Linked DNA regions of Oreochromis niloticus. The protein of the gene in region 1 binds, or shares a complex with, the protein of each later gene. Links are inferred from orthologs where the notes say so. Each region holds a gene or a part of one and is shown in the gene's direction. Other genes may lie near its edges.

Region 1 (10,176 bases):
CGAGAGGTTGAAGGACGGGGTCGGCGAATTCCCCTAACAAGCACAGACACAAGTGCTGACCCCTCATCTGTGTCATCTTTGTTTGCCTGGGCCTGTGTGCATGATAGGAAGTCCAATTTTTTTTTAAAGACACAGAGGTGCATCCACAAGGGAAGATGAGAAGTGCACAGTCATCAGTAATTGTCATAGCTCAACAAGCCATGGGTCATGCCCTGCCTCTGTGAGCATTATTGTGAAGATACAGAGAGGGTGAATCCCCACATGCAGCTGCTGCAGCTGTTAAACTCCCTGATAAACACAGAGAAATGCCATGTTGGTGTACCAAGCTGTTAATTAACTGTGGGGATTCATCTGTTTCACACCACAGTTAATTGATAGCACACCTTTGGGGTCGTTTTTCTCTCTGTTGGTCAGACAAAGAAGCATCACTCTGGGCTCTGGCCCAGTGAGCTGTGGAATTGTTTTAATATCCTAACCGTCCAGATTATAAATCGATGCAAGGTGAAGGTAATCCATAAATCTACTGATTGATTAAAATTGCATCAGTTCTAATTGCTGCCTGATGTCTGGTGCTCGGGATCTGCAGCTGTCAGTCACGAAGCTGATCCAAGTTTTCCCGTCGTTATCCCGAGATAATGTAAAACATGTAGACCTATGTACCGACTTTATAGCTTCTTTTACCAGCCTGCTCCTTTTAAATTATTATTTTTTTATTTATATTATTTTAAACTACGGATTTCATGTGTATTTTCATTTATTTTGACGCGCCGTCCGTGTCTGAGTGTGAGGCAGCCAGCGGATCATCAGTCAGCCTGACAGGAGTGACATCCGGGCGGCGCGCCTCCCTCCCTCTCTCGGTGTCACCGGCGGGTCTTACCTTGGTGAGCTGAGCGATCTTCTTGCACATCTTGCTGTGCATTTGATAGTCGTACAGCTCCTGCTCGATGTTGGAGAACTCTGCCGCAGTCCCGTTAACGGCGGAGCCCGGCCCGGGGGCTGTGCAGCCTTACCGGCGCCTGAAGCCATAACGAAGCCCCCCAGGGGAACTTCCCAGCCCGGAGGATAGTCAGAAATGATCCCGCCGCCTCGCAGATGAAAATCCCCACCAGAAATCGTGTCAACTTTTTTACTCGCGCATCTCATTCCCCCGTCGGCACACCCTCTCCCGCGAACGGCATCTCGAGTAATCCGCTGCAAAACATTTGGGAGTAAATCGGCGGGGCTCTCCTCGTGCGTTCCCGTTGTTGCCCCCCTCTCCTGCTGTCCGCCCGGTGATCGCGGAGGTCACACGCTGGAAGTCCATCGGGGACGCGCTCGCGCCGACCGACCCTTTCCCTGTTGTCAACGGATTTTTTTCCTCCTTCTTAGTCTAACAGGGAGCGCTGGAGGATGAAGGCGTACAGTCCGACCACCTGTCTCGCGGCAGGGGCGGAGCGGGGCGTGCGTATCCTATGGAACATTACCGGAGACAGCTCGAGAGGCGCACTGCTGCAGTGCTGCCCCGCCCCTACCGGAGCTGCTGTATCAATGCCGATCAGCGCGCGGATGGGAGGTGGAGGAGGAGGAGGGGGTCTCTGGGGTCCAGTCGTGTGATTTTACTCCATCAGTCAGATAAAAGGGGAGCACTGAGGGCAGTGTCAGTTGCTGTGGACGAGCACACGATAACCCACATGCTTTGACTGTGGACTGATTTCATTGAAAAAAAAAACAGAACAACTACTAGCACTCACTATAAAAGGTGGATTAGCACAGATGAAGGAACTTCCCACACATTTATTTGTTTCTTAAACGCACTACTTTCCAAGTACACATGCACACCTCGTTGTCTCAAAGAAAACCCCTACTTAAGAGTGTGCAAGCAAATGAGAGCGCAGTGACTCACTATATGAGTGGACTCCATTTACTAAATATTCATTTCTCCACCTTAAAGGTGTAGCCTGCTCCAGAAATGTGTTGCTGCGGTTTTCATAGCGTTTGGTGGACTGACAGAGACAGGTTAAAAAAAAAAAAAATGCAGCAGAGTGTCAGGATGTAATGAGAGGATCCAAATGCAGGGGCATTAACAGGATTTTTTTTCAAGGGTTATAACCGACCAGAGGGGGCTCATGGGAAATCAGAATATGCTTTCAGAACTAAAAATCACTCGAAACTGGTTGAAAATCCAGTGAATTGTAATGATTTTAATGTGCACAAAGGTAACTACTGAGAAAAATACAGTGGACTCTTTTTTTTTTGCACAGTAAAGAAATTAAGGAAAGGTATGTGAGAGGATGTCCATCGTTCAAAACCAGGCTGTTAAACCAATAGATTTTACTGCATGTAATATGATTTAACATTATACAGATATACATTTACAGTGATGTGTTGACGGGGAGAAAACAGTTTTTCCGGTTGTTATTTATCTGCAATTTTTGTCTGTGATTGCATTGATATAATAGCACAATATGTTTGGAGGTGGGGATCAAATTTCAATGTGGTGGGTGCCTCACCCCTTCCCAAAGTGGGCAGGGCTATATATACACAGAGAAGACAGAATGAATGACAAAACACAGAGGTCCAAGGTGGAAAGGACGTGGAGAGAGCAGGCAGTCACAACGTAGGATAGATGCCATAATCTGAAGTGTCTAGTTTTTGTAATTGTGTTTATCTAAGGATAGATCATTTTTGGTCCTTGCATCCTTTTTATAAATGCGATGAATCTACAGATAAAGTTGAGCCTGTGAGGCACTTGAACATTATGGACCCAAGTGCTTGAGTTAACTATTGAACACGGTCTTTTAAGTTCAAATCTTCAGTTTCTAATGCAAGATTTTTGACTTCTTGGCCTTTAAGCTGATGCTGAAGTAAACCCTGATACGATAAGATCAACTCAAATGTGTGTGGTTATTCTGGAGAAGGGTGAGATATGATACGTGAGATAATATGGCAGTTTTTCAGATCGCCAGAAAACCTTTGGCTTTAGCTGTTTGCATAAAAAGTGTCACAAATAAGCAACAATAAAAATGAGAAAAATATGCAATTTAATTAAAGCATCCCTTCACAAAAAAAAAAGCAGTTTTCTCAAGGCGTTTTTATATTGTGAGGCAAAGACTACAATATTAGACGAACTCAACAAGCAGATGGTCCTCCTATGAGCACACCCTCGACAATGATGAGAAAAACATCTCCTTAATTAGAGACCTTCAGCAGAACCAGATTCAGGAAGAGGCAGAAATCTACCATTGCTGGTTTGTGGGTGAGCATAGAAAATCTCATTTTTGTTTCCTATTTCCACAGTGCCGGTGAATTATGGCACAAAGTGGACATGATATCAGACATTTATAAAGCCAACTTAACCATTATAACATCCCCCCTGTTTAGGCTGTTTGCATCAACCCTCTCACATCCAAGTGTTATTCAAGCACAGACATATACAAACATTTATGACAGAGCAGTTTGGTAGGATAATACCTGCTTTGGCCAGACCTTCTGTGCCACTTACGTTTTTCTGATCATTTTTTGGGACACAGTTTGACTCGCGCCATCTTGGGCCTAAATCTCTCTGTTTCTGAAACATTCCTCTTAAACATTTTTCTAAATGTGCCCCAGGAGAGTGTGTTGCTGTGCCACCTTTATAAATCCAGTTTTGATCTAATGACAGCCTAGTTTAGTTGAAACAAACTGATTATTGGGCCACATTCTTTGGTGGTTCACATTATGCATCATAATCTCAAACAAACATGAGAAACTAGGAGCAGGTAACCAAGCCTTTAAATATGTAGGCCTAAATGTGTTTATTACCTTGCAGTTAATACAGAGTTTGAATCTCAAACAATTTCTTGTCACCTTTGCAGTATTTACAGATGTACACAGGGGTTTTTTTCATCCCTCTGGCTTCTGATGCTGTAGCTGTGTGGTCTAATGCAGGGATAGTTTGTCCCTGTATTGTATAAATATTTAATATGATAATACACCTTCATGATAATCCCTGGCCTACATGCACACAGGTCTAAAGCAAACAGTCTGACAGAGTGCCATCTATATTAAATTAATTTCCAAAAATAGATGCCATAAAATAAGGAGCCCTCTCTGTCTGTGTAGAAGCACGTTTTTGCCCTCCTTATGGGTGAGCTGTCCCCTCCACAGCTGTCCAGCAGCTGTGGCCCTGGACACTGGCTGCACGATACTAATGACAAATATATTATACATATGAGTTAAATTATAAACATCAGTAAGTAGTTCAACAGAAATTCATCCATATGATTACCTAATGTATTTATATAGTTTTAAAGAGAATAGGTTTTCAGTCGAACTAATATGGTTGTTATAAAGTAAAAGAGATGCTTTCATAAAAGTTGTTAGTCACCTCAGTTAGTTCCTTGCAGGAAACCAAGCTAAATAAAAGTTTAAAAAAGGGTTAGGGTTAACAAAACAAACAAACACAAGAACTCAACTAATAATTATTGGTATATTGCCATTTTGAAGTATAAACATAATGCAGAGGAAATCAAAAATACCCTTAAATTACATTTTTGCATATCTACAAAATCTGTTAAATATTTCAAAACTGTGAAAAAAGCCATCAGTGTTGTCTCAGTGGGTTTGATCTATAGAATAAAACCTCCAAATATCTTCATCACACTATCTTTGAATATTTCCCCAGTAAAACATTAATATGACATCCAACATCATTCAGTTGCCATCTTATTTGCCAATGGGTTGATTTAATTCAACAAACTGATAATGATATTTGACTAACATATTAGGGATACATACGGGCATCCATAAGTCAAACTTTTAGGCTAGTATTTCAAAATTTAAATTTATTTACTCAGAATTTTGAATTAGAAAGCCGGACTGCATTTTTTAGATTTTTTATTTATTAATTATTATTATTTTTAGTGGCAGAAACAAGCTCTTTTTAATTTAAAAATTTGAGAAGCTTTTATAATGTTGTTTTCTCATTAAAACAATTATTCTAATATGGCAGTGACAAGAGGTCAAATATCCATTGTTCGATTATCAGATAAAATAAATAAATAAATAAATAACCTTTTTTGTCAGCTATATCCTCCACAGAATCGCTTACCCGCTTGGCATACACCAGTGACTGTAGAAACTACAGTCATTGGCATACACAGGGAAAAACCATACACGTGACGCACATACGTACGCAAACAACTCAGTTCTCGCGAGAGTAAAATTCAAAAACAGGCGGTTGTTCACTGAGAAGAAAACTAAGAGGTACGTTTTAAAGCTCACGCGTTAAGCTTTTGGCTTTAATACTACTTTTCATGTCTGATAATTATAAAACGCCTCTCTAGGGACTTCGTCGTGCGTGACTTAATTACGTTGCGTTGTTTATTTTCTCTGCTCTTGTTTCACTGGTAATTCTCTCGAGGTGGGTTTAGGAAGCTAATGAGACACCGGAGACCATCAGGCTGCTTCCTTTACTGCTAGCTAATAGAGACATTTCTGACAGCAGAGTTTACTCTAGGTAAGCCTGCTTCGGCTCATGGTATCACTATCTGTATTAGTTTAGGTTTCTGCGAAGGAAAGATGACAGCGGACAACGAAATAGACATCAAGGAGGCGTTTCAGCGCGCTCAGAAGGGCCACAATAACAAGGCAAAGCTGGTGGCGAGCCTCAAGAGCCGCTACAACAAGGTAGGAGATGATGCTTTCTTATCAGTCTCTTCCTACTTGTCTTTCACATTATCCTGGATTAATGAGTGCATTGTCATATCTTTAATGTGATAAAATAACTCAGTTTATACGAGAAAGTATAAATGCGCTGTCTTCTTAGATATGGAAGAAATACAGTAAAGTGAAATTAAAGCTTGTACACAGGTTTTCATTCTCCTTCGTCACATCTACGGGTACTCTCTATATATCCTCTTGCACTTCGTGCTTGAATCTCCTTTGAGGTCTTCCTCTTTTTCTCCTGTCTGGCAGGAGACAGGAGACTTGCTTAAGTTTCTGGAAGTTTAAAGTGCTTGGGGGCTGTTTGTATTAAACTATCGGACAGAAAGCACACTAATCTCAGATTAACTGAGATGTCTGGATTGTTAAATAAGTCTTTCAGATGACCTAGGTTCTTATTATTGATCTCATAAGCAAGGACCCTTCTTTCCTCTGTCTCGTCCCTCAGCTTGAGGATAAATCACTGTTCCACGAGGAGTTTGCGCACTACCTGAAGTATGCAATGATTGTCTACAAGCGTGAACCTGCAGTTGAAAACGTCATTGAGTTTGTTGCGAGGTTTGCTACAAGTTTCCAGTCTCCGCCTAAAACAAACGAGGGGAAGCAGCAGCAAGAGGAGGAGGAGGAGGAAGAAGAAGAAGATGATGATGATGCTGAGGACGATCATCCATTTCAGAGTTTCATCTTCAACTTTCTGTTGGAGGTATGAACATTATAATGCTAGTTTATGCCTGTGAGCACTGTTTTTTGGTGGTGTTAGTGAAGTGACCAGCAAATTCTTGACCTATTGATTTTGATTTGTTAAAAATTTCTCCTTTTTTTTTCTTTTTTTAAACAAGTCTGTTAACCACAAAAATTAAAACTTGTACATTTCTGATTTTGCTCTGACTTTTTGAACACAAAGGCTTTGAGGTGATTCTTGTCTATACTGCCTCTCAATCTTATTTTGTGGTTTCCCATATGACTTCTTTCTATTCCTTATGTATTCACATCTGTTTTTCCTCATACACTTGTCCTGATCCAATCTATGTTCACAATTACTCTCGTATCTCTGCCTTTTCCCTCCTAATCCGAGTTTTGTGCCTTCCTTTTTATCTCAGTCCCACAAAGCCAATAGTCATGCAGTACGTTTCAGAGTGTGTCAGCTGATCAACAAGTTGCTGGGCAGTATGGCTGAGAATGCACAGATTGACGACGATCTCTTTGATCGCATCCACCAAGCCATGCTGGTCCGTGTCACTGACAAATTCCCCAATGTGAGGATTCAGGCTGCTTTGGCCATGACCCGCCTTCAGCAGCCAACAGATCCAGACTGTCCAACCATCAATGGTTTGTTTTTTGTTTTGTTTTGTTCTTTTTTTTTTAAAATATTGAAATCTGTGACTTATTATCTAAAATTATGTGTTGAATCCCCAAAATCCTCTACATGGTCTTAAATTCTCAATCTTCTCTTGAATCTCACTTCTTAGAAAGTAATTATTGTCACGTTTTTTTTTATTTTTATTTTTTTTATTTGTTTGTTTTTGTATTTGTGTATCTTTGTTACTGTCACTAACTGCAGAATTATTTTCTCCTCTAGCGTTTATGTTGATTCTGGAAAACGATACTAATGCCGAGGTGCGACGTGCCGTTCTGTCCTGTATTGCAATGTCCCCTCGGACCCTCCCCAAAGTACTCAAACGCACTCGAGACATCAAAGAAAATGTCCGCAAGCTGGCGTACCAGGTACCTATGAATAGGGATGGGTATCGTTTAGGTTTTATCTGATACCAGTACCAAACCGGTACTTTTGAAACGGTGCCGGTGCTTAAACGGTGCTCGAACCGGTGCTTAAAGAATGGAGAACACAAAATTGGTCCAAAAACCTCTCATGTTCAGCTGTTTTTTTTGTAAAAAGATAACAATGTTAGCCTTTTCTGCATCTATAGGGCATATATGGTATCACTCTTGGCTGGAAGCAGTGCTTAAACAATGGAAAAAACACAAACTTTGTCCAAAAACCTCTCATGTTTAGCTGTTTCCCACTTTTTCTTTGGTCATTTTAGCGTTTTTGGCCAGGGTGAATGGAGTATCTGCCATCAAACAAGAAGAGAGCCGCATGTAACTACGACGGTGTTTGCTAGTTCACCTTACATGCATTAATGTAATAATGTGGTTAGCCTACTCAACGTAAATTACACACGAACAAGATTAAGCTACTCACACAGAGGAGAACGGCTGCTGCTGCCATCATCATCCGTCATCATTTCTGCTACACTGACAGGGCTAGGGGCCAGGACTCTACTCTTCGGGTTTTTGGGGGATGTTGCTAACTCCGGGTCCGATAACAGGCACCACACCCGCAGTAAATGTGCTCGGTGTGAGGTCTCGCAGCAAGCAATCAAATATGGCGCATTTCTCGGCTTTTAACAAAATGCTATACGTCGCCAGGTGTTTCATCAGATTTGAGGTGTTACCTCCTTTGACAGTATCACAGTATCAGCTTAAAGCACTTGTTGCAGGCTGCTGAGTTTGCATCTTTTGCTGTGAAGTACAGCCAGACTTTGACCGCTTCGCCTTGGGCGTTTTTAATCTGTAGCTCTGCTCTAAAAGAACGTACGTACCTGGGCCCGCCTACTATCCTCGGAAAGGTAAAATGATTGGCTAGAATCCAAAGTGTATGACATCTCAGGAAAAAAAAGCACCGAAATAAAGCACCGAAATGTGCGCTGCTTTTCGGTCTGGTTACTACCGTTTATGTCAGAACCGGTCCCATAATGGCACCGGATACCGGTACCCATCCCTACCTATGAATGTAAAAATATGTATCCACTGCAAGGGCTGGTTGATTACGGAGATTTGCACTAAAACTTCCATGTGTGTTTCTGTTTAAGGTTCTGGCTGACAAAGTTCACATTAAAGCTCTTAGCATTGCACAGAGAGTAAGCCTACTGCAGCAGGGCCTCCATGACACCTCAGGTAATACTGATTTTTGTGGTTAAATAATACTATTTTTATACAGATGCATTTATAACTTCAAAATTTGCACTTAAAGTAACGCAAAACCCCAATCAAAGCTGCTGCTAACTTTTTAATTAGTAATACACCAGTTATTTTTTTCTTCATTGTCAAAAATGTTTGTTTATACAGCAAAAAGCTCTTTGGAATAATGAGTGATCTAAAAGTTAAAGAGATTTCTTTACCAAATATAAAATGAAAAACACATTGGAGAAGTTGAGCCCTTTTTTACCCCTCGGCTTTAAAAGGCTGATTGGATATTGAACTTTGACATCCAAGTTTGTGAATTCGATAACTCGACAACGAAGCAACGCTTTCAAACTGATACCAGAAGTGTATCAATCTCAGGATTTGAATCTGTGACCTTGACCTTGAGGTCAGGCTTTCTGAAAATTTTGTGAAGGCAATAACTCGAGAAGGAAGTCGCCTTGAATTTTGAAATTGATAACATAAGTGATAATAAAAATCTCTGACGAGTTTAAATCTCAGTGATCTTGACCTCAAGGTCAGAGGTCAAGTTTTCTGAAAGTCTTGTAAATGTGATAACTTGAGAATAAAGTGCCGTAAGAGTTTCAACTTGATACCATAGGTGTATCTACTGGTGTGCTGATGGGTACCACTGGGCACCGCTAGTATTTTTGTTTATGTAGAGGAAAAAGTGTCAGAAATATCTGTTGATTGACAGGAATGGTTCTGCTGTATATGTGTCTGATAGCCTGTGTGGTTTTCAGAAGCGGTAAGGGAGGTGGTTTGTTCTCGTTTGTTACCGGCCTGGCTGCTTCGGCTGGATGGGAACATCATTGAACTGCTCCATAGGCTGGATGTGGAAAACTGTGCAGAAACGGCTCTGGAGACCCTGAAAGCGATCTTCAAAAACATCCTGACTGAAGAGCTGCTGCAGAACCGAGTAGAGCTCGACAACAGGTACTCTCACTTCTCCTTCTGTCTAACAAATAATAAATAAAATGTCTGAAGTTACAGATCATGATGTGTGTGTTTTTAACAGGAGGCTGATCCCAAAGGACAGTCTGACCTGTGAAAATGTGCTTTACTGGAGAGCTCTGTGTGAGTTCATCAGGAGTAAAGGAGATGATGGTGATGAAATGCTGGAGCAAGTCTTGCCAGATGCAGCAACATATGCCGACTACCTCTGTGGGTAAGAAGAGCCACTGTTATTGGATTATAAATTGGGGTTTTCTTGCTTATTGCTGTGCTCTGTAAATTCTGAACCAAATAGCTTTTCATATTGGATATTTTATTGGGCACTTAATGTGCTTTTAGTTACTTTGTGATGTTTTATTTGAAAAAAACAAAAAACAAAAACCAAACAGTTGCCATAAAGATTGTGTTGTGACTCTAGGTATCTGAAGGCAGGTCCGGTGTTCTCAGAGGAGCTCCTTCTGTATGTAACTGTGTGGCTAACTCAAAGCTTATATAACAGCGAGGCTAACTGACTGCTTTTTGTTAAACTTCACCTTGCTATTTATAAAATATAGT
Region 2 (10,511 bases), on another chromosome or scaffold:
TTTATAAGATGGCAGTTCTGCAAGTAGACAGCAAGGCATGTTTTAGCAACAATGCACTGTGAGGGTTACCCAAGAAAAGTAATTTCTTACATGTTACTCATTACTTTTCTTAAAATTAATGCTTGCAGTATGTTTCTTACTTACTTGCCATTACATTACTTTATTATTACTTCATGAAATGTCCTGAAATAATAATGTAAACGTATAGGCTACAGTCCCACACACCAACACAAATACAGATATGATGATCAGATGATCCCTGATAACAACGAGACGGCCTACCTGAAGGAGATTAGGAATCTGGAGAACTGGTGCCAGAGGAACAACCTCCTTCTAAACGTCAGTAAGACAAAGGAGTTGATAGTGGACTTCAGCACTAAGCAGGAGAGGAACTACCAGACCCCCATCATCAACGAGTGCCCAGTGGAGAGAGTGGACAGCTTCAAATACCTCGGGGTTCACATCACGCAGGACCTGTCATGGTCCTGTCACATCAACACCGTGGTGAAAAAGGCCCGACAGCGCCTCTACCACCTCAGACGCTTGAGAGACTTCCAACTGCCCACCAAGGTGCTCAGGAACTTTTACTCCTGCACCATAGAGAGCATCCTGACGGGAAACATCTCAACCTGGTTCGGGAACAGCACCATTCAGGAAAGACGAGCTCTACAGAGGGTTGTGTGATCAGCTGAGCGCACCATCCACTCCGAGCTCCCTGCCCTGCACTCAATCTACAGCAGGCGGTGCTGGGCCAAGGCCAGGAAGATCGTGAAGGACCTCAGCCATCCCAAAAATGGACTGTTCTCTCTGTTGAGGTCAGGAAAGCGATTCCGCTCCCTGAAGACCAACACAGAGAGACTGAGGAGGAGCTTCTTTCCGCAGGCGATACGGTCTCTCAATCACACCACCACATAGTACTGACCCACACATATGGTTTTTACACACACACTGGACATTCTGCACATTTGTTTACATTTGTTTACATTTGCCATCTTGTTATTGATTAACAAGATCACTCTATCACAAGTCACTTAAATAAATCACTTTTAAGCATATTTGCACTGCACAAGACACTTAAATATGTGGGTTGCACAACCCTGGACATTACATTTCTTTCATTACCATTTATTACTCGTACAGCTGCTCTTATTGTTCTATATTTCTTCATATATTCTTCTATATTTTCTATATTGTGTATTTTGTTGTACAGTTATTTTATTTTTAACTTTAATTTTTATATTTTATTTTATTCTTTCCTAGTTAAATTTACTCTTCATTTTAATTTTCATATTTATTTCCTATCCTATTCATAGTCTTTTATTTTAGGTCACGAGCAGTTGTCTAAGCATTTCACTGCATATCGTACTGTGTATGACTGTGTATGTGACAAATAAAATTTGAATTTGAATTTTGAATTTGAATATAATGTTTCTTCTAGTATTAATGACCACAAACCCAGCAACACAAAGCAAAGCTAAACCAGCTCAAAGAGACTTTGAAGCGATTGTCACAGTGATTCTACTCTGAAAACACCAAAAGGTACAAACGGGAGCTACAAGCCGACTCATCACTGAAGATCAGGCTCTGCTCAGCACACACTCAGCTGTATCATCACGCTGGGTTCTTGGCTAGCTTGTTCGCAAAGAGCCAAACTTGCGTTAGCAGTATACATTGCTTCTGTCCTGAATGCAGTTTGAACTTTAAAATCACACTCTTGTGCTTTTGAGCAATAAAAACAAAAGTAATGTCCACATTTCTGCTTTTGACCACCCCAACACTTTTTTTCTCTTCCACACAAACTAGTGGTCTGTGGATCGATACTGAAATATCAATTCTTCCAGTACCAGATATTTATGTTCTAGAATCAAATCTCATCTTAAAATATCAATATTTTAGTAATTTGGGGTAAATTTGTAGTTTTTCATTAACAAGAACACAGTAGAAAGTACCTGTATTATTGGGACCATCTGAATGATTGGTAGGAACTACTTCTTCCGCCTGTCATAGTGAAATACCGCTGTATAAATGCATCATGGCTCACGTGTGCTCATTCACTCACTTGGTAAGGTCACAGAACTGTTAAACACAAACAAAAGTAAGTTATCACACAGAAAATGATGACGAGTTTATGATGAGGTGAACTGAAGAGGAGAGGGACAGGTGCTGCTAGGGTGATATCACTCCCAGATAAATGGATTATATATGCTAGGTGTCATTGAAATATACAGCATACTTACAGTAAAATAGCCTTGATAGACTTTAAAATATAAAAATACAACTTAAATATTTCATACATAAGACAGATAGATAATGACAGGCATCTATAAAACGTCTCAGCTGTATTATTATTTTCAGTCGGTCACATTTGTTTTGAGTGATTGTTAATTGAATATTTTCAAATGGTATTGACTTTTGGGTTTTTTTATTTTGTATATGGTAATTCTTCATAATCAAACAATAAGAACAAGTAGTCTGGTCACTTGTATTCATTGTAAAGGTATAATTTGAAATACACTACTTTTTATTTAGATTTTCCAAACACATTAGGTTTTTGTTTAAAGTATCAGTAGCCAATCAGTATCATTGATACTAGCCGGAATTTTACTGGGGATCAGATCAGAAAGGAACTCAGTGGTTATTGCACATCATTAACACAAACTGAAATCAGCTGATTGCAGCGCAAGTGCACAGAAAGAAAAAAGTGTGCTTGTGTGTTGTTGTTTTGTTTTGTTTTGTTTTTTCTTTCTATCCACCTCATGCAGAGAATTGACCAACTTTTCCAAATAACATCATAATTGTAACAGTAACATAACAACTGAATTTAGTGGATTAAATCATTACTGAAAAATGTACACATGCAGTATCAACACAATAAGCGTTCCAGCATTAGACAAACTCAAACAGAATTGATTCCAACATCCATCAGTGTTGTTTCCTGGGCTAAATCTGTTTGGCTACTCACTCCTTTATTACTCACTCCACTCACGCCTTTATTTAGCCCCAAATGATCAAGCTGTTTAAAACAGCAAATGCACTAAGGGCCTGCACAAAGGCCCAGTATATGATAAACAAAGCTTTTCGACTGGGAATCATGCAAAGCTACTTCAGCACAGTCCAATAATAACATCAAGCAAAAAACAGCAGAATTGATATGTGTCTGTCTGTGTCCTGGAGAATAAACATTGTACATGTTTTATTATTTGGTAGAGTCAGCCCTGGTCTTACAAGAATAAGATCTCTTATACTGAGGACACAAGTGTCTGTTCCTCATTTAAAGAGTGAACTTCATAACTATTAGACTTTGTTAGTTTATAGATATGAAAAATAAACCACCACCTCTAACGCTGAGTGACTATTTTGACTGAGAAAACATTCATATTAGGCCTCCTTCACTAACATTTCCATAGAGATTTTCTTAATTTGCACACTAAAAAGGTGTAGGTGCAAAATTATCATCTTCTTCAGGACACGTGCACAGCAACACCACAGTTTCCAGTCTGTTGGATCCCCTCCACCTCCACCCCTCCCTTCAGGAGGAACGCGCTAAAATTGCTGCAATAGAGAAGCCTAGCCACTGATGCAAAAATGCAAAAGAATTTTATGACTAGAGAAGCTGAAACCTTACTGTCCAAGGTGGAAGTCAAAATATGCATAATGTGTAACATGTAAAATAAAGTGTAAATATCAATCTGCTTGTATACCTTCATACTGAAGTTGTAAATCCAAGAACAATGAAAGGCCATCAAATTCAAAATTTGGAATAAATTTAGCTAATGCATTAGTTAGTTACTTAATTAGATTAGTTATAACATTGTTTTCTGTTATGACCTTAAATTGAATTCACTTTTAAAATGGAAAGCATTTACTTTAAATATCCGTTTACATTTTCCAGGACAGTTGGGCTGTTATTTTTGTGTACACAACTCTCTGAGGACACTCTTATTTGGTCAGATTCTCCAATTGGGGAGCCATCTGTGTGCTAAAACTTATGCATTTATGCTTAAATTCTTTTGTGACTCAAGCTTCTTTCTCTTGCCTTACAGACACACTCACTACTGGTGCAATCAAAGATGTTCACTGCATGGGCAGAGGGTACATCTCCAAGGAGTTAAGATAATACTCTGATCAACCCTGTCAAACATCACTGAAAGGCATTTTTTCTGACTGTGTCAAGCTTACTCATGGAAACTGGAATGAACTGGCTAATGTTTAACTTTGAATTTTTCCCATAGGTCTTTTGCAGAAGGTCTCTATAGACAAAAACAAAATGGGAAAAATTGAGCAGGGTTAGTGTCACACTAATAAAGGAATGTAACTGGCATTTCTCATTTGAATGAGAATATTCATTTAGAGGAAATCCTATGGGATTGTGTCACAGTTATTACTTACCTAATTATTACTTCCCTGAAAACTGATATTTAAAATTCTGGAAGTAGTTTAACAAAATTTTGACTTTCTTATATCAATTCTGAATCCATTCACCGTTCAACTTACCAGCAACACAATCTTGATTGTCACTGCCATCTAGTGAGTAGCCAATGCACTGCCATTATTCTCAGCCAGTCTAATGAAGCAAAGCCGCTGCTTCATGTCATTAGAAAGATTCCTTTTGCTTTAGTTTTTATTTCAGTCAATAATTATAAGAGAAATAGCTATTAATGAAATGTACTGTGCAACTTGCATGCTGCTTTTCAGTCTTTACTTTAGTAGCTGAATGTCAGTTGATGTTGTTAGAGTTGCGGCTGTGGCTGTCAAACAATATCTATCAAGTGTCTATTAAGTGATAGAAGTAAAAAGAAAATGGTTCCGAGCAAAGTGCTCCATCCTGTCATGCTAAAAAATGAAAGTGACAGCATGTGTGCTCTCTTAGCTGTGCAGGAATTTTGATGAAACATGGAGAAATGGTGTTTTGCTTTAGTGTGATGTGAATATCAATATATGTTTACTGAGTCACAGCTGCTTAACTTCGAGACCCTAGCCTCACATGTCATGCTTGATCTGTGATTATTACAGCAAACACTGTTTCAGTATGTCTTCACATACAAAATACACTCAGTCAGTACCAGTTATTCCTCTTATTAAGGAGCAGACCACTTAAACATTAAAGGATTTACTGACTCACTCGTCAATGATCATGGTAGTCAAAAGATCATTGCATAAGGAAGACATGGTGGGGGATGCTATTATGGTATTGAAAATGAAAAAAAAAACCTGATTATCTGTCATAAAAACTGATGAACACTTACTTTTTCGTGATGTAATGTTTTTATTAAACAATATCATAAAATAAACAATTCAACGAAAACTACTTTATGTTAATATTAAAGAAGAATTATTATAAACAATTATTATAATTATTAAAAAGAAGAAGAATCATTGAGTTTTATCTCAAGATCACTGTTTTCATAGTTTCCTTGGGGGTCATTAAACTACTCTGAATCTGATTTTCACTTTCTCTCGCTGTGGTGGGCGTGGTTAGCGTCATGACGTAGGTTGCTGCTACGTAAACCGTTCGGCGCAAAAATTCAAACGCTAGACAGGAAGAAATTTCCTGCTTGTTCTTTCTGTCATATTACAACTTATAACGGGTCTACATAAGTCTCCGTCGGATTTAAGGCAATTCTTGGTATGTTTTGGGGCTGAAGCAAGTCTTGTGATAAAGTTTTTATTTGTTAGTAAGCCTGCTAACGCTAACTGTAAGAACACGTTCATACCGAAGTTAGGGTTGTTATGCTAAAATGCATGTAAAGTTAGCTTAGTTAGCGTGAGCATGTAAGTGCGTTTGGGCAGTACATGTGCTTCTTACGTGATTATTTTACTAAACTAGCTTACCAAATATGTTGTGCTAAGATGGCGTTTGCTTTCTGAAAACTTACTTTAGTTGAATGTATATAACCTTTTCACTGGTTTAATACTTTATTGTAGAGTTCCTTTGTTTATGTGCGAGTAGCGTTCAAGCTAAGCTGATGGAAATCCACATTGAAGTCAATGGATATGAGTCTACAAAAGGAAGGATTCGCAGACTGTGCTGTGCTATACTAATAAATGATGAACCCTTAAAGTAAACAACGTTGTTTCGGTAGCAAACAGGCAAGATTGATGCGAACTTAACCCTAGCATATCATACTTGCATAACCAGAGCCAACATTAAGAGTTTGTCTTGTCTTTTTTCTCCCAATTTCTTTGCCATCATGAGACCACATTCTCTCTCCTTATTCTCATTAGTAATTTTTAAACTTGGCTTAAACTTTGTTTTCCTTTGTAAGTTCCAAACAGCTGTAACAACACAAGCACAGCACTTTGTAAAAACAGCTGATTCACAGTTATGTTAGCATCAAATATATGCCTCATCCCGTGGGTTGTATTGACAGATTTCACCACCGATATCCATTGAGTTACTTTTAATATTTTTCCTAAATTCTAGATTTTATTTGAGTTGCCTGCAACAAATAGTTAACTGAGCCAAGTTAACTTTCTCTCCTGCTTCAAATTGATATGTGTACGGTACATTCAGAGCGCTGAATTCTGCTCTTTAAGCACTATTTCTTTCCAACCCCCTGTTCAGTCCAAACTTCTTTTCCTATCTCCAGCAAAGATGAGCGGAGCCTCCACACCCGTCTCCCGAGTACAACCAGGATGGATGTCATCCTCTTTGAAGAATAAGGGTCTGTCCCCTGCAGGCAGCAGCACTCCACTGCTGTCAGCTTTCCCTGGAAACGATGATGAGCAGGAGCGACGTCAGCGTAGGAGGTCAAGAGTCATTGACCTTCAAGCTGCAAGTGACTCCTCCTTCAATGACTCTGCATCTCACAGGTATGCTGTAGATAATGGCAAGACTAAAAGTAATTTGTAAAAACATTTTGTGCCATGGCTTTGACAAACAGTACCTGTCTGCTTGGCTGCTATGTATCATGAGAGCTCAAAGACAATCTCATTGTCCTAATCAGCACTGTGGGAACTCCTGCTGCTGTGCCCAAGTTGTCAAATGCACAGATCTCAGAGCATTACTCCACCTGCATAAAACTCTCCACTGAAAATGTAAGTATTTGTATGTGTATGCATTTTCCTCTTTTCCCTTTACAGTAAATGTCCTTTGTCTTTCTCTGTGATTGGTAAATGAAAAAATATGGCGAAATACGGGGCAAATAAATGAATTAAGTACTTTTTTATTCTTATCGACAGAAAATCACCACCAAAAATGCATTTGGTCTGCATTTGATTGATTACATGGCTGATATTCTCAAACAAAAGGATTCAGAGCTCACCAACTTCAAGGTATGTGTAACTGATTCTTTCATTCATCATTTTGGTTCTCTAAAAGTCTTTGAACTGATTTAAACATTTGAATGAAACATCATGATAAATAGTCAAAGGAGTTCGCAAAGAAAAGCGTCTGGACTTCTTTAAGTTGCTTGAAGACGTTTCACCTCTCATCCGAGAAGCTTCTTCAGTTCTAAGGTCAAATGGCCGAGAGTCCCAGATTTAAACCCATTTGACCTTAGAACTGAAGAAGCTTCTCGGATGAGAGGTGAAACGTCTTCAAGCAACTTAAAGAAGTCCAGACGCTTTTCTTTGCAAACTCCTTTGACTACGATGACCTGGATGACTGAGAATCTTCACAGACATCATGATAAATAATTTTCTGGTTGTTGGAGAACATAGAAATGTTGTTTGGGTTTTTTTTAAAGTGTGTTTAAAATATCAGGAGAATATATTTCTTGGACTCAGCACCCACCTGACTTGTTTAAGTTAGGCGGGTGCTAACACCAGTTTGATTTTAATTCAGGGAAGCAGAATTTATACAAAATTAAGGCTGCATTCTGTCCAGTGTGATCTCTCATCTCACAAGCACCACTCATTCTGAGAAAGTGCAGGATTCTGTATTAATCTAGAGTATTTATTATTTAGTTTTGCAAGCAGTATCCTTCAATATTTACATCTTTTCATCCTAAAGGTGGCAGCTGGCACTCTGGATGCCAGTACGAAAATCTACGCTGTGAGGGTGGATGCTGTTCATGCTGATGCCTACAGAGTGCTGGGTGGTCTGGGTGCTGAAACCAAACCTGGAGAGGGTGAGAGTCTCTGTATTGTCGTTGGATTTTCTTTTAACCATACTTGTGCTATGGCTTGAGCTTTCTGGCTTTTTCTAACACAGTTTTAAAGTTGTTGAACCCACCTTCCTGTACTATTGAAGATTTTCTGCTTTTTTTGAATTCTTTATGCATACACAGGCCATGGTGCAACAGAGGAAGATGGAGATGATGCAGGACTTGCAGGAGGTGAAGTCACTGCCAAGCAGCCAAAGAAGAAAAGGCCTCCCAAGAAGACAGTAGAGCAGAACCTGAGCAACATCAACAGTGCTGAGTCTGAGAGGAGATGTGAGGTATGTAGAGGTCTTAGCAAAGTAACTAAAATAGTGCACACCTCAGTTCTTTTTTTTTTTTTTTACTTTTTGAAATAACAGAAGTATCGTTCAGGGCTTCGGGACCACTATGCCAATGACTAATCATGGGAAATATTCCTGCTTATTGCTTATGTCATGCAGCAATAAGCAATAATAGAATATAGCTATCAATGTATAGATCCAGGAATTCAGTATTTGGGTTAAATAAGAATGAATTGAAAACAACCTTTGTTTACACTGTTGTTCTGCAAGATCTCGGCTCATGCACATAAATGAACAACACTAAAAACATTCAGAGGTTGATTGTTTTGTTTTCCTTTCACTGTTTGGATTTTGGGTCAAATCGTTCTGTTTTGTAGCCAACAGACTCAGCTATGTTGTTATCTTTTACCACCAGAATAGAAGATGCAACTCCCTCGAGATGCAGTACACACCCTCACTCCATTAAAATAGGTGGAATGCTTTAAACTGATATATATAATATAGAAACAACAAAGACCCAGAGAGAGGTAGATCTCTATTTTTATGCCAAATGTAATTATCATCACTACACAAACAGTGCTGTAATCTAAGTAAGCAGTACTTGATTCTAACCAAGTAAATTATACTAGTTTCTTCACTTAAGGTAATGTAGCTGTAGATTTATGTGATGGGTTTTGAACATGAGCTGAAAGTATATTCATTAGGCTTGGGCTATTTATGAGCTTAGATTTTTGTTAATTATTTAATTAATTAAATCCTTATTGATATGAACATGCTTCAGCTGTGATTATATTACATGAGAAAAAGTTAGTGTGGAGGAGAATCAGTAAAAAAAGAACAAACAAAAAAAACAGCCTTCTGTTTTATTTCCTGTACAGAAACCCACTGTTCGACATGACAAGATGAAAAATACAAATTTATGAATACTGCTTACTATTTTTGGTGTTGTTATATATTTAGCAGTCAAATTAAGAACGATCTTACTGTTTAGAACTAAAAAAAAAAGGGTGGCACAGTCGCCGTACCAAATTTCTATATTCACTTATGTACAGAGGTCTCTTTACTAAATGTTAAACAACTTCAGCATCACTGCTAGAGTTGATGTTGGATTACTATCATGGATTACAGCCTTCAATCAGCTTAAATCCAATGATGATTGATAAGTTTGTTTGATTTAGATCAATAGTTAAATTAGATGTTGTCTTAGAAGACACCTCGAGTGATTTTTATTTATTTATTTATTTTTTCATTACTATCACAGCATCACTTTGCCATAGTAATAAGCTTAAATGCCTCTTTTAGTTGATATCAAGGTAGGTTGTGTTTATGATAAACTTTCTGTCTTCCCCACAAAGGTGGACCCCATGTTTCAGCGGATGGCCTCATCCTTTGATGAGAGCAGCACAGCTGGAGTCTTCCTGTCAGTTCTGTTCAGTGAGAGCAGTCGCTGCGAGCTGCTCTTTCCATCCCACATGACCCTCCTGCAGTCCAGACCCGCCTACTCTCCTCCACCTCCACAGGGGGTCCCAGCATCCCCATTCATGGGTAAAAGTCTTTCACTAAGCCCAATAAATTCATTTACACTTGGACGTTAAATATTGTGCCGCTAGTTGGATGTTCATATGAACCCTTAGCACTGTATCACTGTCATCCTTCGGTTTCTCCCAGAAATGAAAACTTGTCTTTCTGTAACATGTCACTGGCAGCCGGACTGCAGCGTTCCCAGGAGAAAAGCTCCATCTGCCCCTCACTGCAGGACTTCTCGTTCACTAGCTGGAATCCGGAGCAGGTAAGAGAAAACGGATCAAGTGCTTATTTCTATCAGTTGTTTCTGAATACTAGTTGTAATATGATTAGGTTATGGAATTTCCATCCTGCTGATCTGATTTAATCCTTTGTTAAGCTGACCCCTTTTTTTGTTCAGTTTATCACTCTTTTAGTTGAAGCATAAAGGAAATCCTATTTTACTACAGCTCAAGTGTGAGCAACCATTTTTGCTTGAAAAGTGAAAGTCCTTAGAAATGTAAAGTCCTGCAGGTTTGAATTTAATATCGTATGCATGTTCTTTCAGACCATGAATCAGCTCTTAGAGAAGATGAAGCAGGGCGAGCATGTGTTTGACGTG
Region 3 (10,429 bases), on another chromosome or scaffold:
AATGGACAACTGACTGACAAGCAGTTACACAGCCAGGTGAGGTCTGATGCCTTATTATATCATGCAAACTAAATAGTTTGCACCTCACCTCAAGTGAGGTGGACTCGCTTGAACCCTTCATGTAAGGGCCACAGAGCTGTCGATGCATGTGAGGGAGGCCATCATTGAACTGAAAAACCTAAAAAAAAATCTATTCGACAAATAGAAAAAAATTAAATACTGGACAAATCAACAATCTGTTATTTTCTTAAAAAAAAAAAAAAAGGCAATGCACTGGCCAGCTCAGCTACACCAACAGTATGAAAGACTACAGAAGACAACTAAAGGAAAAGATTTAAAATTCTTTCATTTGTTAAAAATGCAAATAAACAAAAAAACTCGTCCTTCATAATAAGTTCAACTTCAAGTCAACAATATTCTCAAAATTTAGCCATATCATTGTCAAGGTCTACAATCATGAGAAGTTTTTATAAATGTAAATACAGAGGGTTTACAACAAAGTATAAACTGCTGGTTACACTCAAAAACAAGAAGCCTAAATAAGACTGCTGGAAAACATCTAAAAAAGTTCTGTGAAATATTTTTGGACAGATGAAACCAAAATCAACATTTACCAGACTGATGGACCTAGTCAAGTACAGAGAAGGAGAGAAACCGCTTATGATCCAAAACGTACCATATTATTTGTCAAACATGGTGGAGGCAGTGTTATAGCATTGGCATGTATGGCTGGTAGTGGAATTGTGCCTCTAGTGTTTATAGATCATGCGACTGCTGAAAGAAGTACCGCAATGAGGTGTTAAGTGTGCAGGGATGTAGTGTCTGTTCAGATAAAACAAAATTACCCAAAACTAATTAGACAGCGCTTTGCAGTGCAAAGGGAAAATGACCTGAAACAAACTGCAAAAGGTACCCAAGAGTTTCTAAAGGCAACGAAACAGGATATTCTTCAGTGGCCAAGTTTGACACCTGATCTAAGCTCAACAGAGCATACTTGACCCACAGAGTGACCCAAAAACAAGCAGGACTGAAGATGGCAGTACTAAAGGTCTGCAGTGCATCTCAAGGGAAGAAACGGCATTTAGTAATGTCCATGCTCTCTAAACTCATTCACAAGTTGATTGATTGATTTGGAATCCACTGTGATGGTGCATGGAGCCAAAATGGCAAAAAAAAAGTGCCAATGCCCAAAACCATATGGAACTAACTGTATAGTGTTGCTTTTTTCCTCCAGCAAATCAGGTTTTTCCCAGATGCAAATAGTGTTATTAATTATCATCTGTTATTCAGGTAAAAATCTGATTGAGATTAAAGTCTTTTTTCAAGTGAGGCCGGGCCAATTCAGACACATCAGGAAAAGTTGGGCATTTTGTTAACTATAGAAATTTTACAGGTGCAACTGTTTTCCTGATCAGTTTGATCTGCGTTTTGCTTTGCTAATTAACATTTTAGCGCTTAAATAATAAATGAAAAGTGTGCAGTTTTGCACATGCACTAGATACACATTTGCAGCTCCGCTTCAGTGAAATTAAGGTTTTAAGCCTTACCTTGGCTGGCTAGTGTTGAGCGTAGCATCCCACTTTTTGACCAGATTTTAATCTGCCCATCTTCTCCCGCTAATTAGAAAAACAACCAGAATAGACCTTAAAGACAGCTTGATTAGATTCTCATTTTGATTTAAAAAGGAAAAAAGGCTGATTAGATGAGTAGTTGTCAGATAACAGAGGAAATGAGTCCTAGTCATCTTTACCAGTGATAAGAGCAGTCCCATCATAGTTCCATCTTCCAGCCAAAACAGCTCCTTTGTGCGCCTCAACACTCTTCTCAATGCGACCCATCTTTGAGGTTAAGTGGAACTTTCCTGCAACAAATTTACAAAAAAACCCCACATAGATGGTGTAAAGCCATTCCACACACTAGGCCTGGGGTGATGTTGGTGTTTTCAGTTGTTTATAACTCAAATACAGAACTGAGCATTGTAATTCACTCAGTAAAGTTTCATAAATCTGTGGAATTCTAGTTACTGTGTAATAGAAAACAAGTTTTAATGGCCAAGACAAAATAGTAAAAATATATAAATAAATACGTATTTTAATCAAAACACACAATAACTACCAATGCATCTCCTAACACACAAATACAGACAAATTTATATTCTCTCCAATCAAGTAAATTACAAACTTCTGGTTTGAAGCAAATGAGTGAAACTAAAAAGGCCTCTGTTGGGTGAATTAGGGCAATTTTCTATGCGGTAGACACGAAAGGGTGATCAGCCATGGAGAGTTATTGAAGACCGTAGCCTACCATATACTTTGTGGCAGTGTGTATTAAAAATTCTGAATGTTCTATGTAATTTCTGGTGACCTAAAACTGCAAATCAGCATGCTGCAGTGCTCTCTCATTTCTAAATTTGGACATCCCAACAAAAGTAGATGTAACTGATCCAGCAGGTAGTCAGTTTAACAGGCATGTACAGCTGAGTGACTCTCTTAAATGAAAAGCACATTAGAAAGCCACATTCTACATAGGAAATGCTTAATTGTTTGTTTGCCTCTTATCTGGAAAGCCTCATTTTTTGATTTCTTATAAAAAATAAAATAAATAGTGATAATAATAATAATAACAATCGACCCTTTTAGTTTAGCTTTTCATTATATTTGGTCCTTTGAGAAATTCCTGGCAGCGCATCTAGACTTCCAAACAAAGTCTGAGAATATTCATCACACTTAATCGTACCCTCCTTGTGTCAAATCTGTCATACAATATAATTTCCAGCAAATGCCACGTATGAGCTATGCAATTCTGTGCCTTAACAGTGTGAACATATTGGGGATTCCAAAATAATGAAGTACGCTTATTAAGTAAATTTACAATATCAAGCTTAATAGGAATGAAATATTATACGAACTCCAATACCATGTGTGCTTGTAATTTAAAACGCTGAAACTGCTTAGCATCATACATTTAAAAAAAAAAAAAAAAAAAAAAAATCACAAATAAACTTGTAAAAGGGAAAGAAGGCCAACTAATCAAAAAAGGTTAGGAAATCCCAAAGATATAAAGTCTTCAAAACTAATAAAACCCAGGTGGACTGTTTTCTCTTCAAGTATGTCATACAATCTAATAGGAAATCCAACAAAGAATCCAGATTAAAAACTTTAATCTGGAGCAAAAGAAAGCTTTCAGTGTTTCAGTTAACAGTGAAGTCAAAATAAATGAATAAAACTCTGTTTCTATTCCCATTGCAGAACCAATAACTTTTGCAATACTAATATTTTTAACCGTAACAAGACAAGAAGCAGAGGAAAGTTGCAAAATGGATCGTAACACTTTTCACTAGTCTCTGCTCTGCCAGAGAAAATTGCTGCTTCAGTTTGTGGGTGTGTTTATGCAACCCTACACTGCCATTAGTGTTGTGACCACACATTGCCTTGCCATAACAGTACATCCATATTCTGTGTGTTGCATCTAACGCAGGCCAAAGAAGAGACATGTACGACAGATTCATGTCACACAAATAGTATCAACCAAGGGGTCGGTATTAGAAATCTACAAAACAAAAATTGAGTTTTAGACACAGATTTATACTGAATACATAAAAAGAAGAATTCAAATGGACTCTACTGGATCCTACAAGTATCAAATTGGTAGCGATTATTTCCCTTAAATATAAATAACTCTTGAATTGTGCCTATGTCTTCTAAAAAAATAAATAATCAAAAATTAAGGAAGACATTGCCATCCTGTAGATAGCCAAGTCTGTTACTTTATTTAATTTATTTATTTCATGAGAATGTCTTTAACTAATAAATGTATAGATATGACCAAAAAACGGCCACTCATTTTATGAATGAACTCTGAAATAAACCCTTTAACATTCGGGTCAAATTTCAGAGAATACAGAGACTTGCCATCTGTGCTGGTAAGAACAAAGATTTCAGCCTGGGCCTGTTTCTTCACACCAACAGTTTTGGGGAACCAGTGTAGGTCAGTAGGGTAAATTTCCTCTGGCAGTTTGACAATCAGACTGGTCTCACTGGTCAGCAGGTTCCACTTGAGAATCTGATGATCCTCACTGCACGAGTACAGCTCATCTGCTGTGGTCCAGCCAACGCAGCTCACAAGTTCTTTATGTGATCAGCTGTTAAGGAGTTATTAGTAATGAACTGATTCTAAAACCCTTTTTTGTGGTAACCTCTGCAATAAATTGGGTTTTCTGAAAAATGGACAGAGGTTAGAGCAACACAAGGATGGAAAATACTATCACTGCCTCAAATAGCACCACTAATAATTACGATTAAAAGTTCTGGAATTCTGTCACAGAATTACATGTGTTACATAATTACAAAAAGGATATGTTTGGATTCCTTTAGGAGCGACGTTTTCAGTCTCATGGTGGATGTTCGTTCTGTTGATCACTAAACGAACAGAAAAATGTCAGAGACAGTAACGTACCTGTTATGTTAAAGCTCTCTATATAACACTGTTGTCAAACCAACACAAAAAATAATAGTACAGAAGACCTGAAGCATGGGTGTATACAGCTTACCCGTAAACTATGTAAAGCAGCCGTTTGCACTCTCCGTTAGCTGTAACGATGAAACAAACAAGCGTCCGCTGTTGCTACGGTACCTGCTACTGTTGCTAACGGAAGTCCTCAGCTATCCCCTGAGTCTCGTCTGTGACTTGAATGCTAACGTTAACTTGTTCTCTTGGTTAAAATGGACATCGTTTTCTCGTTGCCGAGTGTACTAAGCGACTCTCAGCAAAACGTGCGTGTCATTTACTCTACTATGAAGCGCTATTAGAATACGCAAAAGTCTTATCTATCACCAATCAGCAATTTATGCCCCAACGTGTAAAACCTGCACTTTGGTAGCCATTTAATCTGGGTCATAAACAGCTTGAAAAACAAATTATCGCGAGAGTTGCATCTCAACTTCCTTGACAACGGAAATTTCGAAATATTTCTAAGTTCAAAAACGACATCTGTTAAATAAATGCATTTATGCAAGTCGTTAGAATCGGGATCAACCAACACTAACAGTTGATCTATCGAGCTATATTTCCTCAAGTATAGACATTGCCCGGGGCAGGTCCTTTATCGTACCACAGACAACCGTTTGAAGACGTAGGAACAACATTAGGCATTTAATAAGAATAAACTTGAATAATATGAACAATTTGCTGTAAACGCATTGCATGGCTCTTATTCCTTTTCGTTTGTTCTTTAGAGTCGTGTGAATGCGGTTTGTTTGGAGTGAGGCGGAGTTGGCTTCGTCCCCTTTTTTGAATTTCGTTTCCCCCCCCCTGCCCTTTGAACGTTCCATGGTGCCTTGCGTCAGTTTGTAACGAATTTGGTTCGACAGCGAGGTTTAGGCGCCATTTACAAGTTTGAGTTATCAACTAAGGAGAGCGAGTCGGAGTGACACGGGAGTAAATTTTTTGGATTATATTTGCCAAACTTTGGATTGACGATTATTTTTTGCGTAATAGCGACTGTGGTCTGAAAGGAAGACTCTTGACAGATCGTGGTTATAGTGTGGAAGGTACATGGAAGTATTTTAGGGGAATGTAACGACTGGGTTCCATCTACTTGCTGAAATGTATTACGTTTGAAGAGGGACTTAACAGTAACGGCAAGTTAAACTAAGGTTTAACGTTAGCTTCTGATTGAAAGCGAGCGGACCATTATTACACATACTAACAGAAATAATGAGACCTAATCACTTTTCGTCTTAACTTATATTAAACCCACAGTGACACTCACTCTTAATAGTGACATTTCCGACTCGTTTAAGTAATGCTCGCGTTGCTAATAGCTCATAACCGGCGGGCTCTAATGTATTTACTCGTTTAACTTTAATACTAGGGTTAATAACTCCTTTCATTTCAGATAACACGTTGACGTTGGATAGGTTTTGCGTTTCATTTATGCCGACACTCCATTTGACTTTATAGAGCCCAGCAACTCATACCTTTTTATAGTTTAAGTTAGCCATTATGTTAGCTTTAGCGTCGCAGCGATATTTCACTTCATATAGTTAGCCAATCAGTTAGCAGCAGTAGTAGTAGTATAGCTAACTTAACGGTAACGTTAGCAAGTAAAAACAGCGTGGCAGGGTTTGCGCTGCCATTGCCAAGTTACTTATTTGGCAAACGTGAATGTAATTATAACGTTATGCTAACACGGGTAAAGTTGCATTAGTTGTTTGAATGTGCGTACCAATTACCTAGCGAGTTAGGTTGGCTCGTCTACGCCTCCGCCCCAGCAAAAACGTTGTGGGGATGAAAGTTAATATTAGTGTCGGTTTGAAACCTCGATCAATTTAGGACGTTGGGTCTTCACCACCAACTTCAGCCAAACTTCAGCCACATTAGCAGTGGCAGTGTAACGCAGGCTAGGCTAAGAGAGCTAAGGGGGAAAATAATTAGGCTATTTGCACATTAACTGAGTCGTTTTTCACTTGCTGTGACGTTAACCTTATTTTTGCTGCGTTATTTACCGCCTAGGTTCGCGAGGCAAAATAAAATGCATGATATAGATGCAGATGCCTACTACAATTATTCTGTGAAAGGATGAGATTATTATTTTAATATAGGTTATTTTAAAGAAAAATGATGCTTGATTTTAAACTTGAAATAGCTTATGATTCTGTGCAGTCATCGGATTGGTGCTATCTCATTTTAACGTTTTCAGCACGAGTAACTCGTGTAATGCTGGACTCATTGTTGTAACAGCAATGTTAAGATATGCAAAGTATACCGATTAACAGTTAGCTGGGCGTCAATAGGATCTGACTGTGGTAATGATTAGAGCCTGACAGAGAAGCTGCGTGTAACCGACTAAAAGTGGAGTTGAGAGATTGACAGGCACAAAAACCACTCATGGATATTCCCTTTTTACCAATGACCCCTTCAGATTTCAAGTCATGCCATCTAAAACTGCAAAGAGCTCAACTGCCTCCGCCAAGCCAAGAGGGAAAGGGTCGCAGTCTGACTCCGAAGACGAGCTAGATGTACCCCCTCAAGAAACCAACTCCAATGGCCAAGAGGAGGCACCGCCGAAAACTGGCAAGTAACAAAGGGTGTTTTGGTGTCTGTGAATCTAAATAAGTTGTTCAGTCAAAGCCTTTGCGTGTATTGCTGTATTGGTAGGGGCCAATTGGCACAGCTGTAAAGCTTTTTTTTCCCCTTCTTGCTTAAACAACACGGAGTTAGAATGGCTGATATATTTTTCACTAAAGTGCCAGTCATCAATAAAATGATTTTGGAGATGATTTTGATAACGCCGAGTGTACTTCTTCCCCGGATCTTCTCAGCAGACGAGGTAATTTATTTCGAAAAATGAGGTGCTTTGTGTAGTAGATCAGAGCGGTGTTTGACTTAATTCTTGTAAGCTTGATATTCACTGATTTCTATGCGAACCTTATAAGATGCACATAAGCAGTGGGTAATGTCTGTATTTTGTAGAATATGTTGAAATGCTTCACTGGGTGTCTGGCTGCGAGGTTTTAATTGACAAACATCGACATCTTTGCTTGTTTATGCTTATGTGAGCACAATAGATTTTGGACAGGTCGTTGTGGCTTGGTGTGATGGCAACATAATCGTTTCTGCGTTACACATTATTATCACAAAACACCCGTTTTCCTGTTTCTGTTTGAGCACAGACAGGCATGAGTGAAAATGTGACGCTGATGGCTGAGATTTCCACTTTAGTTATTTGTCATCGACAATGTGGCGCATCTGAGTACGTAGAGAGCGTTTGGATTATAATGTGGGTTCGTTCATAAGCGGCCATGGTCTCTTTTCTTTTTTGGGGTTGGCTCTTGTTTGCAGAACAAAGAAAAATAACGCCTGTCAACTTTTCTTTCTGGAGTCGTACTTTGACTGCTCTTGTAACTTGGTGCGTGTGTTTTGTTTGTTTTTGTTTTTTTGTGTGTGTGTGTGCGCGAGTATGCTTCTCTACCCCTCCCCCACGTACAACTGCCCCCCCCCCCACCTGAAACGACTCGAACAGAAGAATAAAAGTTGTACTTTTTGTGTGCCACAGATTCGTCTCACGGGGAAGCTACCGAGACCGTTGATAATAGAAGTTTGGAGGAGATTGTCGGTAGCATCCCTCCACCTCCGCCCCCAGCAATGACCAATGAACCGGGCGCCCCTCGCCTGATGATAACACATTTAGTTAATCGAAACTTTAAATCATATGCAGGCGAGCAGATTCTGGGGCCTTTTCACAAGGTACGACCAAACATGGTTACACATGTAATCCCTGCCTGGGAAATACTCTTCTGATGTGTCACAGATTTAACATCACTTGTTGTGTATCCCACTCTTAATTTAATTTTTTTTCTGTTTAATTTCATATGATATAAACTCATAGATTTTTGCCTCGTGTAGTAGAAAACAGAACATGTCACAGAATAATTTATCCTGCTATATTTTAGCATCATTGCCTTAAATAAAATCAAAGTGGAAAAAGTCAGACTCCTCCATTTTGATTTAGTGAGTCTATCTCACAAGAGGTAGTGATCTAGTGGGGTGCTCACTTCTCTTGAAAATTGTGAGTTTCTGTAAACTTTGTCTTCATACCTTTTTCTGTTTCTTTTGTTACTAAATAATTTCTCTATGTTAAAAACAACTTTAACTTACACTCACATGGAATACATTCAAATTTGCAGTCTTGCTGAAGTAAAATGTTACTGTTTAACTCTACAGGATAGACTCTGTTTTTACATTATTGATTTTATTTTATTTTTTTCTATTTTCTCTACCTTTTTCTTAGCGCTTTTCCTGCATCATTGGTCCAAATGGAAGTGGGAAGTCCAATGTGATAGACTCAATGCTCTTTGTGTTTGGATACAGAGCTCAAAAGATCAGATCGAAAAAGCTCTCAGTGCTGATTCACAGCTCTGATCAACACAAAGATGTGCAAAGCTGTACTGTGGAGGTGCACTTTCAAAAGATTATTGATAAGGTATATATATCTATCTCTGTCACACAGATGCATGCTGCACTCACTCTGAATTAATAAATGGGTAGCCCAAATGCAGAAAGATAAGAAGAAATATTTTCTGAAGTATAGTGGTGTTTGTTGAATTAAAAAAAATATATATTTTTTGTTCTCTGTATAATATTGCTGCATAGTGATCACAACAGTGACTAAACAAAGACTCAAATCAGTCATGAAAGTTACAGCTAACACCCACACATGTCATAGTCAGTTCATATTGTGCTAGAGTTGATCCCTCTATTTTTAAATATATATATATTTTTTTTAAATTGCAGTTCAGTAATTAGCCTCTACTCATTTGACTGTACTGTGAAAAGTCAACAAAGTGGCTTTTGTATTGAGAGAGAACTTCAGTTGGGTGGCTAAGATGACAGATTACACTGAAAATCGACTGAACTGTAGTTCAAAGAATTAAACACGTTTCTATATTTGATCTGCCACAGGGGGTGTGAGAAAGTGTTTTGCCTTGTGTACTCATAAATGTGTCTGAGCCTTTCTCTTTGCTTCATTAGCTCAAAGTAAATTCAAATCAAGTTGTTAAACTGATGGTCAAATTTTGTGTGCTATATCAGCTTTAAACTATTATTTCTAAAACAAAAACAAAAAATCAGAAGTAGTATAAACAACTTAAAGTTTTAGACTTGCTTCTAAAAGTACTTAATTTTCTGTTTTATGCTGTATTTTCACTGTCATTATTTTATCTAATAAACTGTTTTAATTCTCTTCATATGTTGCACTCCATACACTCCAGTATGTATAGGGTGTATTTGCATGTTACTCTGGCTAGCTTTATATACTTTTTAAAGAAGCCTTTTTTTCTTATTTTGTTTTTAATATAGTGTGCTTTTTTGCCCTAGCCATCCTAATGTATTTGTTAGTGTTATAAATGTTATAAATATTGCAATTTGCTGTGTGGAGCTGTTTGAATTTCTTCTTAACTGCTCTCTTCTAAGCTGCTCTCTGTCCTCTGCCCCTCCCCCCTCAGCAAGGAGATGACTACGAAGTCATCCCCAACAGCAAGTTCTATGTTTCCAGGACTGCCAACAAAGATAATTCCTCAGCCTACCATATCAATGGCAAGAAAGCCACATTCAAAGAAGTGGGTGCCTTACTGCGAAGCCACGGTATTGACCTAGACCACAACAGATTTCTGATCTTACAGGTAATTTTTTTATGCAATTTCCTCTTCCAGTTCTAGCTTTGCTTTTTGTTTTTTGTTTTAGTTTAGTTTTTTTTCCCTTTTTTTTTTCCCCCTGCTGTGACCATCCCATTTTGTAAGATTTCCTGCTCTCTGTTCTCTATCCATGTCTTAGTCCACTTTGAGTCAAAGTGTTTCATATAACTTAACCATGACTGTCTTTGGGAATAACCTGTTGCACTGGATTTGGAAAATAGATGTGCCCTCTGCCA

The links. Proteins that work in one complex are often made in the same cells at the same time.
Region 2: the proteins of ncapg (region 1) and ncaph are in contact, whole or in part, in a crystal structure (PDB 6IGX), measured with the Homo sapiens proteins. The link is inferred for Oreochromis niloticus from reciprocal best matches to the Homo sapiens genes NCAPG and NCAPH. Residues at the interface, in NP_071741.2 of Homo sapiens: Lys11, Phe14, Arg15, Gln18, His50, Tyr51, Lys53, Tyr54, Val55, Met56, Val57, Glu62, Ala64, Val65, Val68, Phe102, Ser106, Glu108, Ala109, Asn110, Ser111, Val114, Arg115, Ile149, Arg150, Lys152, Asp153, Lys154, Arg159, Glu188; in NP_056156.2 of Homo sapiens: Glu471, Ile472, Asp473, Phe474, Glu475, Asp476, Asp477, Ile478, Phe480, Val482, Tyr483, Phe484, Arg485, Lys486, Thr487, Ala489, Ala490, Thr491, Ile492, Leu493, Gln501, Asn502, Trp503, Ala505, Thr506, Thr507, Leu508, Phe512, Tyr514, Val516.
Region 3: ncapg (region 1) and smc4 share a complex: the UniProt entries of both Homo sapiens proteins name them as parts of the condensin complex. The link is inferred for Oreochromis niloticus from reciprocal best matches to the Homo sapiens genes NCAPG and SMC4.

What each region holds. Positions count from the first base shown.
Region 1 is NC_031971.2:21,718,623-21,728,798, forward strand, and holds the start of ncapg (condensin complex subunit 3), read left to right. Parts: upstream 1-5,117; 5' UTR 5,118-5,223; intron 5,224-5,254; exon of another isoform or gene 5,255-5,380; intron 5,381-5,516; 5' UTR 5,517-5,538; coding exon 5,539-5,646; intron 5,647-6,130; coding exon 6,131-6,385; intron 6,386-6,782; coding exon 6,783-7,011; intron 7,012-7,261; coding exon 7,262-7,407; intron 7,408-8,555; coding exon 8,556-8,640; intron 8,641-9,410; coding exon 9,411-9,603; intron 9,604-9,685; coding exon 9,686-9,835; intron 9,836-10,039; coding exon 10,040-10,081; intron 10,082-10,176. Other genes in the region: protein FAM184B, read right to left, coding at 878-919. UniProt on the Homo sapiens protein: Regulatory subunit of the condensin complex, a complex required for conversion of interphase chromatin into mitotic-like condense chromosomes.
Region 2 is NC_031977.2:6,091,112-6,101,622, forward strand, and holds the start of ncaph (condensin complex subunit 2), read left to right. Parts: upstream 1-5,475; 5' UTR 5,476-5,626; exon of another isoform or gene 5,627-5,696; intron 5,697-6,590; 5' UTR 6,591-6,595; coding exon 6,596-6,813; intron 6,814-6,947; coding exon 6,948-7,038; intron 7,039-7,182; coding exon 7,183-7,275; intron 7,276-7,954; coding exon 7,955-8,072; intron 8,073-8,231; coding exon 8,232-8,383; intron 8,384-9,741; coding exon 9,742-9,931; intron 9,932-10,092; coding exon 10,093-10,175; intron 10,176-10,457; coding exon 10,458-10,511. UniProt on the Homo sapiens protein: Regulatory subunit of the condensin complex, a complex required for conversion of interphase chromatin into mitotic-like condense chromosomes.
Region 3 is NC_031979.2:23,947,580-23,958,008, reverse strand, and holds the start of smc4 (structural maintenance of chromosomes protein 4), read left to right. Parts: upstream 1-5,393; 5' UTR 5,394-5,549; intron 5,550-5,616; exon of another isoform or gene 5,617-5,639; intron 5,640-6,233; exon of another isoform or gene 6,234-6,913; intron 6,914-6,922; 5' UTR 6,923-6,932; coding exon 6,933-7,074; intron 7,075-7,212; exon of another isoform or gene 7,213-7,330; intron 7,331-8,056; coding exon 8,057-8,247; intron 8,248-8,791; coding exon 8,792-8,983; intron 8,984-10,004; coding exon 10,005-10,181; intron 10,182-10,429. Other genes in the region: ift80 (intraflagellar transport protein 80 homolog), read right to left, coding at 1,548-1,616, 1,751-1,861, 3,912-4,133, 4,358-4,394. UniProt on the Homo sapiens protein: Central component of the condensin complex, a complex required for conversion of interphase chromatin into mitotic-like condense chromosomes.